Linked DNA regions of Cricetulus griseus. The protein of the gene in region 2 purifies or fractionates together with the protein of the main gene of each other region. This does not show direct contact. Links are inferred from orthologs where the notes say so. Each region holds a gene or a part of one and is shown on either strand. Other genes may lie near its edges.

Region 1 (3,652 bases), on a different chromosome or scaffold from region 2:
CTATGGGCTGGGTGTTGGTGGCACACCCCTTTAATTGCAGCACTTAGAAGACAGAGGCAGGAGATGGATCTCTGTGAGTTAGAGGCCAGCCTGGTCTACAGAGCAAATTGCAGGACAGGCTCCAAAGCAATACAGAGAAACCCTGTCTGGAAGCAAAAAAAAAAAACAAAAAACAAAAAACAAAGCAGCACTCTGGTATAACAGATGCTAAATAATCTGTTATGCATGAATCAACTTACCTAAAATGCCCAGTACTCCATAAGAATAATGTTAAATCATGAAAGGAAATAACTTTCAATAGATCCTGAAGGGACCTAACTTTAAAGTACTGGCAAAACATTGACTATTTTAGCAAATTTACTTCTACCTGTTGTTTTTTATTGCATTTTGTTTTTGTTTGCTTTTTGTGGTAATGAGGATTAAAACCCAGCCAGGTGGTAGCAAACACCTTCAATCCCCAGCACTAGGGAGGCAAAGGCAGGCAGATCTCTGAGTTCCAGGCCAGTCTGGTCTACAGAGCTAGTTCCAGGACAGCCAAGGACCGTGAAACTCTGACTCGAAAACAAAAACAAACAAACAAAATACCAAACCAAACCAAAAATCCAAGAGAACAAAACCCAATTCCTCATATACACTAGGCAAACACTCCACTACTGAGCTATATATCTTCTGCTAAAGATAAAGTTGTGATGTCAGGCTGTGAAAATGGCTCAGTAGGTAAATACACTTCCTATCCAAGCCTGAAGACCAGAGTTCAGTCCCTGGAACTAAAAAGCTGGATGTGCTGGTCTTCCTACTGCAAGATGCGGGGGCAAAGACAGAACTGGCTGAAAGCTAGCCTCAGATATCCTGCTCACAACCAAAACAAGAGACTTTGACTCACACAAGAAAGTGAAAGTGACCTGCCCCTTAGAAATTAAAAATTTAAACAAACAAAAAAGCACTTATATTGAAATGCTAGTTATAAACTGGGCATAGTAGTACAATGCTTTCAGCACTAACCTGGACCTCACAGAGATCCACTTGACTCAGAGAGCTGGGATTAAAGCCTTGGCTTCTTTTCATAAATCGTTTATTATATATGCACATGTGTATCTATTAAGTGTATATTCCTGTTTGTCTGCATGAGTGTGGGTGTGTATGACTGGAAGTCTGAGACCACCTCAGTTGTAGGTCCCCACCTTCTAAACTTATTCACTGCGAGGTATGCCAGGCTAGTTACCCCTCAGGCTTCCAGGGATTCTCTTGTTTCAGTCTCAATCTCAGTGTGGGACCACAGGGAGAGATGCATGTGCCTAACTCTGCATGGGTTCTAGTATCTAAATTCAAATGCTCACACTTGCCATAACAAGTGGTCTACTCACACTCATTGAGACCTCTAAGTACTATGTATGTCTTATCTCTGTCTTTGTCTGTTTCTTTTCTTTTCTTTTTCTGGCATACCTGAGAATCAAACCAGAACCCTGAGTATGCTAGGTGAAAGCACTTTACCATTAAACTACACCCACCTCTTGTCCCTATTTTATTAAAGGGGAAAAAATGAAAAGATTATAAAATTAAACAATGGACCGAAGAAATAGCTCAGTATTTAAGAGCACTGCCTGCTCTCCCAGAGAACCATGGTTTGGCTCCCAAAACTCACATGGCCACTCACAACCATATGCAACTCCTGTTCCAGCTGATCTGATGCGCTCTCTGCACTGTGGGCACCAGACAACACAAATGCAGTATACAGATATACATGCAGGTAAAAGACTCACACACACACACACACACAAAAAAAAAAAAAAAAAAATTTATGTGTGTTTTCGGAGACAGGGTTTCTCTGTGTAGCCCTGACAGTCCCGGAACACTATCTTTAGACCAGTCTGGCCTCAAACCCATGCCCCCCCCTTTCTGGGAATAAAGGTGTGTATCATCACCCAGCCCAGCAAGAAAATATTTTTTTTTCTTTTCTTTTTCTTTTTGGTTTCAAAACAGCATTTCACTGTATAACACCCCTAGCTGGCCTGGAATTAGCTCTGTAGACCAGGTTGGCCTCAAACTCACAGAGATCTGCCTGTCTCCCAAGTGCTGGGATTAAAGGTGTACGCCACCAACCAGCTAAGAATTTTTTAAATAACAAAAATAAAAGAAATTAGCCAAGTTCATCCACCTATATCTTAAAGGGTGGAACAAGAATCTGGTCCCAGACTATCTGGCTCCCAAATTTGTGTTCCCAACCAATTTCTTAAATTACCCCTCAAATATAAGATTATTAAAACATCAGCTCCACAATGGGAGACTATTGTGGTCTATTGACTCTCTTGATTTTTATGAAAGTGTATAAATGGGAAAAAGACAGTGGCTCTGGGTAAATTTTTCTACCTCTACAGAGTCCTAATGCCTGAAAAAGAAAGCACTTACTCAGAAAAGCCTTTCCACTTCAACAGATACTCCACTTGCCCCTTAACCATGCGTCTGTCTAACACCTTTTCCACCACATACTCCTCCTCATCCTCGGAAGAAGAACTGTCAGCTGTCCTCTTGGTTTTCTTTCCCATGTCGCACGCTGATCCACCTGAAGGACTAAGGCCACCAGGTTCCTGAAAAGGGATAAAGATAAAACGGTTACAATCCGTGAGGGTTATAACTGCCACTTCTTGATGGAACAGAGGGTACAATACTAGTCAGTCTCATACCCTTCTTTTTGGTCTACAATTATTCTAAGACAGGGCTACAGATTTAATTTTAAAATGGGTCAATCCACATTTCCCTAACAACAACTTCTCTTCAGTTGAAGAGATCAAATTAGATGACACATTCCTTTAATTTTAATATTCAAAAAACCAAGTAGCATGACATGCTACTCATGACCATTTCTGCATCTACTTGTGAGCCAGGAACTCAAAGGAAAATGTGGAAAACCTTCAATTAAAGGAACCAAAAAATAAAAATCCTTTTCCTCTGAGGCGAATACATGTTTTTATAAAAATGAAGAAAAAGAAAAAAAGAAACCTTCCCCCACAAAACACCCAAAAGTAACTTTTCCATACTCTGAGCATTTTGGTCAGTCTCTTCTCAGCGTGTACGTGTACATACACACACACACACACACACACACACACACACACACACACACACACACACACGGCAGTTAACCATCTCTCACCACATTTCTAGTGACTTGGTACATTTCCCTTAAACAACTTGAGTCTGTCCCTTTAGCATGTCCATCAGCTCACAAAAACAAGGCTGACAGCTCAAAAACACTAAGCCTCCTTTTTAGCAAGCTCATTTGGGAATAGAAGGGAAAGGGGGCAGAGGGAAAAAAATTCAAAATTAGTCATTGGACTAGTCTGTAATTCCCAGGGCTCGACTAACCCAAACAGTTATGGAGGTACCTTGCCTCTTCACTGAAGTTGACTTTGGGCCAAAGGAAGAGGAGGGGAAAGAAGTCTGGCCCCAGATTCTGAATCAACATGAAGCCTCCTCAGAACACAGAGGACTATTCATCTCCCAGGAAAGCCAGGACAAGGCAGCACAAATGGAAATTAGGCTCAGAAATATGCAGTCAGAGGTGCTCAACAGAGAATCTAGTTTTAAAAATTCCCACACTGCTGAACCATAATCGTTTTAAAAGAATTCTTCCTTAATCATGTTAAATGGTACC
Region 2 (4,327 bases):
AATAATCACTTATGAACACAGACATGTAATGTCATTAAAGAAAATTTATGGATAATACAGAAAAGCTTTACTTTTTGAAAAATTTATGTATCTGAGTACTTTGCTTACATTTATGTCTGTGCACTGCATGTGTACCTGGTACCCACAGAGGTCAGAAGAGTGCATCGGAACTAGGGCTACAGACAGTTGTGAGCTACCCTGTGGGTGCTGAGAATCAAACCTGGGTTTTCTGCAAGAAGAAGTTTTCTTAATCATTGAACCAGCTTCCCAGCCCCAGAAAAGTTTTATAAAATGCTTTATCATGAATTGGAACTGAAGGCACCAGCTCCCCGTTTCAGCAGCCATAGCAGCCGAACACCTTGCTTTGGTCACTAGGAGGTTAGGTGACTGCCTCGTGGCAGCAAACCAATCAGAAGTTAGCTGGTGGTGCCATGCTTTACGGCTCTGGGTGTGCTTTACGGACAAGTGCACAACAATGACACGCAGAGCAACCACCCTGGGAGAGCCTATCGGCCATAACAACCAGTTGACCAATCAACACAGGGCAAACCCTCCAAGCCTGGAGCCACACCAATCCTGAGCCTGTGCATACCCCTTGACACTCCCCTTACGCTGCCCTATAAGATCTCTATGCAGAGTCTTCGAGCTGTCTTTCCTAGCCATCCGCCATGGTGGGTGGATGAAAGACCAGCGTTAAACAACTACAATAAAGCCTCCTGCAGTTTGCATCAAACTTTCGACTCCATCTGGTGATTGGGGTGGCCAAGTTCCTGGACAGAGGTCCTGGGGGCCTGAGTTCCCGGGGGTCTTTCAGAACCAGGTGTTTTGTCGAGTAGTACAATGAGAAATTAGCAATCAATACAGGACCAAAATGACCTAGAGGACTTGGGCCCAACTTCTTCATTTCTCAGAGAAAAAAGCTGAGAAAGGAACTCCATCTTTTTAATTTTGTTAGCATTCTTAAGGGCTTTTTAAATGAAAAAAATTGTTTACCTTCAATACATTCTGATCGTGATTTGCCTTCCCCAACTCCTCACAGATCCTCCCCACCAACTCAACTCCATACCCTTTCTTGAGAGAAAGTAACTCTTAAAAGGCCCGATTCCGAATCTTTGCTAACAATGCCCACAGACTAGAGCGTAGATTCCAGCACTGCCAACACTAACTGCAAAAATAACCCACTAAAGCCGGGTGTTGGTGGCGCACGTCTTTGATCCCAGCACTCGGGAGGCAGAGGCACAGTAGTCTTCTATACAATGGTACATTATAAGGTATCTGTCTCACATCTACCCCACACACTTTCTTCCTTGAGACCAAATACTATTTGATAGTTGGGTCTTTTTTTTTTTTTTTTTTAAAAAAGACAAGGCCTTTCTGCATAGCTCTGCTGTCCTGGAACTCACTATGTTAAACCAGGCTGAATCTGCTTCTCGAGTGCTGGGGATTAAAGGTGTATGCCATCATGCCCAGCCTTATTGATCATCTTTTAAAAATACATTTTGGGGGCTGGAGAGATGGCTCAGAGGTTAAGAACACTGGCTGCTCTCCGAGAGGTACTGAGTTCAATTCCCAGCAAGCACATGGTGGCTCACAACCATCTATAATGGGATCTGATGCCCTCTTCTAGCATAAAGTCGATAAAACATAGCCATAAAATAAATAAGTAAATCTTTAATAATGCATCTTGATATTGAAAGTTTAACAATGAACACGTGTAAGCTGACTGGCTGTCGACACCCTGGGGAAAGGGAGCCTCAGATGAAGAGATGTCTATCTGATTGGTTTATAGACAAGAAAATGTGGGGCATTTTCTTGATTTTCAATAGATATAGGAAGTACCATCCCTTTGCTGGATCAGAAAGAGAGCAGAACTGAGGCTGGGAGCAAGCCAGTAAATAGTTTCACTCTGTGTTTTCTGCTTGAGTCCCTGCCCTTAATTCCCTCAACAGACTACCACCTGTAAGATGAACTCTTTCATCTCCCAAATTATTTTTGATCACACATACTATGTAACACTGTTCTTTATGAATAGCTGTTTTTTTTTTTAAGGTTATAAATTTTTGACTGGTTTTGTGTTTAAAAGAAAAACGAACAGAAACCACAAAGAACTCCCACGTTCCTACATATTTTTTCCGACTCTATTAACAATTTGCGTTAATTAGTGGGGTAATTTGTAACGGCTGATACTTTTTGTTCCCTAGTGCCGGGATGGAACCCAAGGCCTCACTCTTGCTAAGCAAGGGCTCAACCAGCGAGCCGCAACCCCAGCCTAATTTAGGACGTCCACGGTTTACAGGCGAGGCCGCTCTTGATGCTCCAGAGCGATTTGCGCATCACCTGTGCTCCATTGAGGTCCTCAGAGTAACTTCACTGCTCCGAGTTCCTGACAAGCACGATTGGTTTACCTGGGGGGCACCGAGCGACCTTAAGTTTAAAAGAGAGGCAACGCTGGGCTGGTCCCAATTTACACTCCGCGGAAAGTGCCAAAGGGTTGGCCCTTACTCGGAAACACCGGGCTGGGCTCCCGGGACAAGGCTAACCCCGTCGGTAGTCCACGTGGGGGTGTGGCTTCTGCTGAGGGTCACCGGTCCTTGGGGAGTCTGGAGAGCAGCTTTACAGCAAATTCGAGACCCACATTGGCCCCTCCAACCCCGGCCGGCCATCGAGGCGGCAAGCAGGAGGAGCCCACGGTACGCTCCGGCCTCCAGGCCGCGCCGAGAGCACCAAGGCGCCCGCTCGCCCTCACCAAGGCGCCCGCCCTCCCGCCTTCAGCAGCCCGTACCGAGGCGCCCGCCAGCTCCTCACCCTCGGGCGAGGTTCTTGGAGTGAAGAAGAGGAAACGCCCACATGAAACGCCGGCCGGCCGCACGGCCTCGGGAATGGCGGCTGGACCGAAGACCAGCCGGGAAGTATCGCGCGCTCGCACCGGAAGTGCCTTCGCGTGCCTCCGGGTCTCTCCCTCCCCCGGCCCCTAAGGTTCCCCAGCTGGGCAGAGCTGGGGGACGCAAGCGGTTCTACCCCTGGCGTGGGGTTCCTGTCTCCACGCCTTCTTTCCTTTTTTTTTTTTCCCCTCCTCCTTTTGTCTTTTGTTCCTTCTGCTGAAGGACGCATTCGTTGGCATATTGTCTTTAATAGAAATGCAAAATAAATACAAAGCTTTTAGAAGACAGTGAACAGGTTTCTTGTCTCCAAATTCAAATTCCAGAAATCGTCTTCATTTGCAGTTGCAATGAATTCGCCTTTACATTACTTAGTACACCTATGTAATTTCTTTTTTTTCTTTTTTCTTTCTTTTTTTTTTTGCTTTGGTTTCTTGTGTTTTGGTTTTGGCTAGAAATGAACCCAGTGCTTCCTCATTTAAGCACCCCATGCTGTCTAATACATAAAACATTCGTGGCTTTTGATTGGTTGGTTTGCTTTTCTTAAGACAGGGTATCTCCCAATGTAGTCTGAGATTCACCTGTCTCCGCCTTCCAGGTGCTGGACTCAAAAGCACTTACTTGCAACCACACGATCCCCTAAACCACTTTTGAGAATCCACTACTGACTACACTGAGTCATTATCCAAGGGTCGGCTGAATTCTTGGTCTTCTTTTTTTTTGGAGACAGGGTTTCTCTGTGGCTTTGGAGGCTGTCCTGAACTAGCTCTTGTAGATTAGGCTGGTCTCGAACTCACAGAGATCTGCCTGCCTCTGCCTCCAGAGCGCTGGGATTAAAGGTGTGTGCCAACACCGCCTGACTCACCACCACCTCCTTCTGTTGTGGCTCTCTGCATGTTTGGAATCAGCTCTTGTCAATCATTGGAGTTGGGAGATCTTGGAGAAGCTAGTAGAGAAGAAGAAGGGCTACTTGGCAACTCAGGGAAGTGAGATTCTGGAGAACCCAGGAAACCTATGGGTAGGGCACAGCAGGATCTATCAGAAGCAGAGAAGCAAATTTGGGAGAACTACGTGGTGAAAAGGAGCAGAACCTACCAAGTGGTACTGTGTACTGTTCCTTGTTAGGATACAGAAATGCAACTGATTTTGTGACCCTATATCCTGCTACTTTGCTAATTTATTTTATTAGCTCCTGAGAGTTTTGTGTGTGCATGTTTGGAATCTTCAGGAACATGTAAAATCATAAAACCTGAACACAGAGGCTTTTTAAATTTTGAATTCAATGTTCCTTGACGTCCTGGTTTGCTTCTTTGTTGCTTCGATAAAACACTAACCAAAAACAAGTTGGGGAAGGGTTTGTAAGATACTGAGGAAAGGCAATGAAGGAACTTAAGGCAGGAACTTGGAGTAAGCAGAGACCATGGGGAAATTCCTAGGATTGCTCTACT

Evidence for each region.
Region 1: the proteins of Champ1 (region 2) and Cbx5 purify together in Homo sapiens (affinity purification with mass spectrometry; 6 studies listed by BioGRID and IntAct, with this or other methods). This does not show direct contact. The link is inferred for Cricetulus griseus from reciprocal best matches to the Homo sapiens genes CHAMP1 and CBX5.

The regions. Positions count from the first base shown.
Region 1 is NC_048595.1:399,591,970-399,595,621, forward strand, and holds part of Cbx5 (chromobox protein homolog 5), read right to left. Parts: intron 2,586-3,652; 5' UTR 2,544-2,585; coding exon 2,407-2,543; intron 1-2,406. UniProt on the Homo sapiens protein: Component of heterochromatin that recognizes and binds histone H3 tails methylated at 'Lys-9' (H3K9me), leading to epigenetic repression. In contrast, it is excluded from chromatin when 'Tyr-41' of histone H3 is phosphorylated (H3Y41ph).
Region 2 is NW_023276807.1:67,009,500-67,013,826, forward strand, and holds the start of Champ1 (chromosome alignment-maintaining phosphoprotein 1), read right to left. Parts: upstream 2,943-4,327; 5' UTR 2,806-2,942; exon of another isoform or gene 2,783-2,805; intron 1-2,782. UniProt on the Homo sapiens protein: Required for proper alignment of chromosomes at metaphase and their accurate segregation during mitosis. Involved in the maintenance of spindle microtubules attachment to the kinetochore during sister chromatid biorientation.